Macaca mulatta: one gene and its partner. The protein of the gene in region 2 interacts with the protein of the main gene of each other region in a pairwise test. Links are inferred from orthologs where the notes say so. Each region holds a gene or a part of one and is shown on either strand. Other genes may lie near its edges.

Region 1 (3,656 bases), on a different chromosome or scaffold from region 2:
GACAATGTGACCCCAGTCTGGTCTGTAAAGCAACTACTCTGACAGCCATGTGGGATTAGACAGGGTTTATCTTGTAGACTGGGAGCCATTTAGCAGTATTACAGTAAGCTAGGGAAAGTGAAAGAGGCTTACTAAAATAGTGGTCCTGAGTTTATGGAGAAGTGACTAATAGCAGGAATACTTGGAATTTAGAAGCACAGGGCTTACTGAATGCTGTAGGTGAGTAGGAGAGTCCAATCTAGCACAGTACCACTTTCAATAAAATAGGGAATAGAGAAAGAAGAGCTATTGGAAAAGCGCAAACCAAGATGATTAATGTGCAGTGAGGAACATTCTGAGTTTAAGGTGATTATAAGATATCTGGAATATGGTTGGATAGACAGGTTGGATATTGTTTCATGTTTGGGTAAGATGTAGGAATTATTAATGTGTCAGAATTGATTAAAGGCAGTTGTAGATGAAGTTGTTCACTGAATACAAAATATGGAAAGAGAAAAGGGTCAAGTGGAGATTCATCATGTCACTCACATTAAGGAGTAGGAAGAGGAACCCATGGAAGAGAGGCAAGGAAGAACTACTGGTGTGAAGTGCTCTTTCAGGAAGCCAACCTGTGAAGAGGAAGGGCAGCGGGGCTCAAAAGGACATATGACTAGGTAGAGTCATTTTTTGTTGGCTTTCTTTTAGAGGGAACATGAAATGTTTGTATACAGTAAAAAGAACTTGCCAAGACAGAAAGCTTGAGCACCATGAGGGGTGGTGATGGTGAAGTAAGGTGGGAATGCATAAAGCTAAAGCACAAGAGGCATGATTAGAGTTGGAAAGCCAGAATGCTGTCTCTTCCTGAGAGGTGACCAGGATCAAGAATGGGTGTAGAGAAGCCAGGACTATAGAGGGATGGGCTCAGCAAGTAACAAAAACTTTCTAGCAACAGAAAAATTCTGACTACAGGACAGAATTTTTCAGACAAACTAAAAACAGACATGCCAAATGGATTATTAACAAAATGAAATATCTTTTTTTTCTCTCTAATCTATGAGATGGGATATTTGGAAGCAATCCCAGTTAATGCGGTATGACTAAGATGTATAGGAAAAATGAATCATCTATTTCAAGTAATGAGCCATAGAGAAATGTTAGTAATGATGAAAAGGAAACTTACAACCAGATTGAGGAGGACAAACTGCTCTGCCAATTTCTGGATTTCTTTATTTTCAGCAAACACTTTCTTTAAAGCTATAATATAAAGAAAAATCATTAAGCATCCATCTTAGCATTGGTTAAAAGCTTTGTTCTATTTTAAGTTAAATTGCATTTTATTTATTTATTGAATTGCATTTTAAATACAATATTCTACTTTGGCCTTTTAGCAAATGATTAGTGAAGTAATATCTATGGCATTGACTACCTTTGCTTTTTATTCACTCATTCATCCATTCATTCATCCATTTATGTTTTCTCCAGCTCATATTTATTGAATGGCTGCCATGTGTTAAGCACTGTGTTATACACTAGGGATAGTACAGTGGGAAAAAAAAAAAAGCATGTGCGTTTTTCATAGAGCTCAAATACTTGTGTGGGAGACAAACCATAAACAAAGAAATAAGTAGATGATAATTTCAGGTAGAGATATGTACTTTGAAGAAAATTAAAGCAAAGGGTTTAAAAACTGTGAGCGGTCCAGGCAGATCTTCCTGAGGGGCTAACACTGAAGTGAGGGAGTGATCCATTCTGGGCTAGGCCACTGGGCAGCGGAACTGCAAAGCAATAGCTGTGAGGTGGGAATGAGCTCAGATGTGGGAGGAGCAGCATGAAGGCCAGGCTGGAGAGGGTGAAGAAAGCAAGAGGAGAGTGGTAGGAAGGGAGAGATAGCCAGTGGCCTGATCCTGTCAGCCTCATAGCTTGTGGTCAGGAATCTGGATTTAATTCTGTGATAAGAAGCCACTTGAGCACGTGAGTGATAGGATCTGATTTACGTCTACCAGCCTCACTCTGGCTTCTGTGTGGACTTGGCTGTAGGGTGGCCAGTTAGGTGACTGTTATAGTAGTCTAGACAAGATCTGATCTTGGCTTGGACCAGGGCAGTAGCATGGAGGCAATAGGAAGTGGTTGGATTTGGGCTTAGTGCAAAATGAAAGTGTAGAGCCCCTTGTTGAAAAATTACTAAGACTTTTAAGACAATGACAGCAGAGTTTAAACCAAGTGTGGGAACCTTCTAAGCTTGGGGCCCTGTGAGATGGCACAGGCTTCATGCCTGTGGATCTGGGGCTGGTTTAAGGATATATTTTGAAGATAAAGCCAGTATTTGCTGGTGTATTGAATGTGGACTGTAAGAGAAATCAAGAAGTTGAAGATGAATCCTAAAGCTAGTTTTTCAAAATATGTACCAACGGTTATCACAAAACGTGGAGATATTTGAAGTCACTTTTAAATATGTTTTTACTATAGGAAATATTCATTTTTCTAAATGCAACTGTAGCTCTAAAGATACAAACATGAGTGATCTGAACCCTGGCCCTAAGGCTAAAAGCCTATAAAGGAAATCATATTTAGAAGAATAAATTACCTTGACTGTGTGGGCATTCATCCAAGTGATGGATAATCATCAAGGGTTTGTTGCTTTAAAAGACAAAGAGAGATGAGACAAATTTTATTGAGTAAGATTTCACATATATCTAGATGTCAGTAGGTGGTGCTCTTGAGAGCTTTGAGGGACCTCTGAGTAACCCTGATCTTTACCTTGTCTTGGATTTGTATAAAGCTTCTTCATATGTCTGAGTCCAGATGAGTTGGTCACCCCAACCTAGAATGAAATGAATCAGTATATTTGAAGCTTTTCTAATTCACACCCAAAGCTGTTGTAAAGCAGTGGTAAAGACTTGGATAATAGAACTGATACTAAAGAAGAAGAAAACCCCCTAGAGAAAGTAGAAATAATTATAAACAATGATAAATCTAGAAGGAACACAACCCAAAATAACCTGGCACCAGGTTAGCACCAGGTTTAAGCACCAAGAGAGAGGAAATCTTTTCCAATTAAGTAGCAGTTGGAAGCCAACAAGAAGCTGACTCCTACCTCTGGAGAGGGTCTGGGGCAGTTTGGGTCGAGAGTCCTTTGTGTCCTTTTTAGCTCCAGGTTTGACTGTGGTATCTCTGGCCAGAGTGTAGGAGAGGGCCACAAGGAGCAAGAATGCTGACACTGAAATTTTCTCCATGGCAACTCTAGTATGGAAAACCAACCAAAATCAGTAAACAAAAATGAACTAGCAGTCTTCAGGGTCTGCAGGTTGCCCCACAATGGTGGAATATACCAGAAACTGAGGCTCTGCTGAGACTGGACATATGAGATTGGAGTAAACAGCTCTGTTCTGTGGGATTTTCCTAAGAATACAGGTGGTCTTTGACTTACAATCGAGTAATGTTCCAATAAACCCACTGTAAGCTGAAAATATTGTAAGTCAAAATACATTCAGAGTAGTCTCTCCTTTCCCAGGGTTTTACTTTCTGAGGTTTCAGCTATCCACGGTCAACTGCATCCAAAATAGGTGAGCACAGTGCAATATTTTGAGAGAGAGATCAAATTCACCTAACTTTTGTTATAAGATACTGTTGTAATTGTTCTGTTTTATTATTAGCTCTTGTTAATCTCTTATTGTGCT
Region 2 (3,656 bases):
AATATTACCCTGATATCAAAACTAGAGACATAAAAGAAGAAGAAAACTACAGACTAATAACTCTCATGAACTTAGACACAACAGTCCTCAAACAAAATACCAGGAAACCAAATTTTTAAAAATGTATCAAAAAATTATACACCATGATCAAGTGGGATTTATTTAACATATGCAGGGCTGGTTGAACATCTGAAAATCAATCAGTGTAATCTACCACTTCACCAAGATAAAGAAACAGAATCTTAAAAGACTATCAACTGAGGCTGAAAAAGCATTTGACACAAATTGATTTTTGACAAAGGTGCAAAAGCAATTTGGGGGGAAGATAGTCTTTCAATAAATGATGTTAGAAAAACTCGACATCCACAGACAAAAAAAAATTAATCTTGACCTAAACCTCACACCTTATATAAAAATTGACTCAAAATGGATCACAAGCTTAAATGTAAAATGTGAAACTATAAAACTTTTAGAAAAACACAGAAGAAAATCTTTGGGATCTAGGGCTAAGAAAAGATTTCTTATAATTGACACTAAAAGCACAATTCATTAAAAGAAAATGTGATAAATTGTAACTCATTAATTAAAGGTTTTGATACAACAAAAGGACCCTGTTAAGAGGATAAAAAGCCAAGTTACACAGTTAAAGAATATACTTATAAGCCACATATCTGACAAAAGACTGGCATATAGAGTACATAACAAACTCTCAAAACCAAACAGTAAAAAAATCAAATAATCCAAATAGAAAATGGACAAAAGATATGAACACACATTTCACCAAAGAGGCTCTACTGATGGCAATAAACATGTGAGAAGACTTTCAACATCATTAGTCATCAGGGAAATGCAAATTAAAACCATAATGAGATATCACTTCACATCTGTCAGAAGGGCTAAAATAAAAAATAGTGACAACACCAAATTCTGGCAAGAATGCAGACAATCTGGATCACCCATACATTGCTAGTAGGCATGTAAAATGGCACAGTACCCTGGAAAAGAATTTGACAGTTTCTTAAAAAACAAAACAAACAAACAAAAAACATGTAACCACCATACCACCCAACAACAGCACTCCTAGGCATTTATCCCAGAGAAATACTTATATTCATAATAAACATGTACACCAATGTTCACACCAGCTTTTTTCATAATATCAAAAAAACTGGAAACAGCCTGTATGTCCATCAACAGGTGAATGGTTAAACAAACCATGGTGCATCCAAAATACCATGGAATACTACTGAGAAATAAAAAAGAACAAACTATTGATGCTCATGACAACTTGGGTGGATCACAAGGAATTATGCTGAATAAAAAATCCAATTCCCAAAGGTCACATATATATGACTCTATCTACACAACACTCTTGAAATGTCAAGATTATAGAAATAGAGAACATTAATTGTTGCTCAGGGTCAAGGAAAGGAGGGGAGTGGGTGTGGCTATATAAGGGCAACAGGAGGAATCCTTGTAGTGATAAAACTGTTCTGAATTTTGACTATAGCAATATCAATATCTTGGTTGTGATATACTATATTACTGTTAAGATGTTATCACTGGAGGAAATGATATAAAGACCATACAGAATGTTGTGTATTATTTCTTACATATACATATGACTCTACAATTATCTCAAAATAAAAAGCTTAACTTAAAAAATGAACAAATACTAGAGAGAAACATCATATACAGGCTCCAGAGCCTGTATATCCAGAGTTTGACTGCCTGAATTTTAATCCTGGATCAACCATTAACAAGTATGCAACTATGAGCAGATTATAAAATCTCTGTATGCTCTCGTTTTCTCACCTACAAAATGGGAATGAAAATACTGCCTACCTCATAGGGTTACTGTGAGGATAAATGACATGATGCTTGTAATGCATTGTCATCTTGCCAAACATACAGTAATTACACAATAAGTGGTAGCTATTATTCGTAATAGTAATGATTCTATTATAATGATATTCAGAAGGCAAAGGTGTGCTGTTAGTTATTCAACTTCCTAAGCTACAGAAATCTTTCTCTTAACTGTTCCCTCAACTCAATCATTTAGCTAACTTTCAAATATTATTCTAAAGTTATCCAAGCAAATGTCTTGTACATGATAAATAAAATGAAACACATGCAAGTTTTTAAATAAATAGGCTTACCTAACAGTTGAAGTATAAGGTACAAGGTTTTCAAACCCTCTTGATGACAGTTGGTTTTGGTTCACAGTAAAGCCACTGGTGATTGTGGTAGTAGTGTTGGTGGTGAAAGTGGTGGTGGTAGTCGTTGAAGTTGTAACTGGAAAATAAAGTGTATAATGTTAGTAAGAAATGAGAAATTGTTTCATTTAAGCCTTTATCGTTCAGATTTTAAATTATGGAGGCATTTTTAAAAATACAAATTTGAACTCAAAGATGCAGATTTGAATTCAACACTGTTGTAATATGAAATAATAAATGGCAGGCCAGGTACCTGGATTAACTTTCCAGCTGAAAACTAAAAATCCTGGATAAATTCATAGAAAAATAAAACTTCTAACCAGCCCAATAACCATGAAAGAAATCAAATCAGTCTTCAAAATTCTTCTCATAAAGAAAACTCCAGTCCCAGATGTCACTGCTGGTAAGTTTTATGAAACTTTCAAGAAAAGAATAATTGCAATTTACAAAAGATCTCTGTACATCTATATCTTTGCATACTTACATGACTGTATCTGTGTAATTAATTCCTAGAAATAAAATTTCTAGATCAAAGTGTCAGCATGCTCTAAATTTTAACATAACTTGCCAAATTGCCCTATCTAAACGTTTGATTTTGCCAGTTTATGTCCCTATCAATAGGAAAGAATGCCTATTTCTTTATACCACAGTCAATACTAGGCATGCATTTTTGCAAACCTTAGTCAAAAGCCTCTCAAAGCTTTATCTACAGCCCAGACTCTCTCTTATGTGTCTTTTTCTGTTACACCCCTATTAGAATGTCCTGCTCTCTATAGATAAAATCCTAAGTATCCTTCATGGCTTGACTCAAATTCTTTGTTCCCCATATTTATCACCTACTTCTCTCCTACTCATAGTTCCTTTGGTTTTCTAAATTTCTGCAGCACTTTTGGGTCTTATTACACACTGAGCACTTAATGAACAATGCACAGAAAATTGTGGCTGCTAGGGAACTGGGAAGGTTTTATTTTCTTCTTTTTGGTCTCGGTATTTTCAAATGTTCTTACAACTAGTAAATGTTGCTTCTGTAACAAGGAATCTGTTATGAAAATATAATGTACATGATTGTTTGTTTTATGTTAGCTTTGCTTTCCAAATTAGCAATAGTTTCAGATTAATGGCCACACCAGATAAATTCATAAACCATGGTGCCTGCTACAACCACTGACTACTCTGGCGGAGGCTGGCCTGAGGGAACATTCCTGCTGAGGGAACAAGCTCAAATACCCATTCTTTGTTCCAGATAACTGTCCTTTTTGTTCCTGGTTCACAGTTGACTGGGCAGGATGGCCAACTGAAGGATGGGAAGCCATCCAATGTACTACTAGCAGCCTACCTGAGGGTCTGGCACAAAAAGCTCTAGCGAAACAGGATTAATATGAGTCAGAATTTCATTTCCAAAAATTTAGCAATATGGAAAAAATCTGACTCTAGGCAGAT

What was found. The genes of interacting proteins can lie anywhere in the genome.
Region 1: the proteins of NUP62CL (region 2) and AGR2 interact in binary tests that used the Homo sapiens proteins (3 or more experiments, as listed by UniProt). The two-hybrid records come from large-scale screens. The link is inferred for Macaca mulatta from reciprocal best matches to the Homo sapiens genes NUP62CL and AGR2.

What each region holds. Positions count from the first base shown.
Region 1 is NC_133408.1:111,469,624-111,473,279, reverse strand, and holds part of AGR2 (anterior gradient protein 2 homolog precursor), read right to left. Parts: intron 3,220-3,656; 5' UTR 3,213-3,219; coding exon 3,074-3,212; intron 2,801-3,073; coding exon 2,737-2,800; intron 2,617-2,736; coding exon 2,564-2,616; intron 1,234-2,563; coding exon 1,160-1,233; intron 1-1,159. UniProt on the Homo sapiens protein: Required for MUC2 post-transcriptional synthesis and secretion. May play a role in the production of mucus by intestinal cells. Proto-oncogene that may play a role in cell migration, cell differentiation and cell growth. Promotes cell adhesion.
Region 2 is NC_133426.1:113,956,484-113,960,139, forward strand, and holds part of NUP62CL (nucleoporin-62 C-terminal-like protein), read right to left. Parts: intron 2,296-3,656; coding exon 2,160-2,295; intron 1-2,159.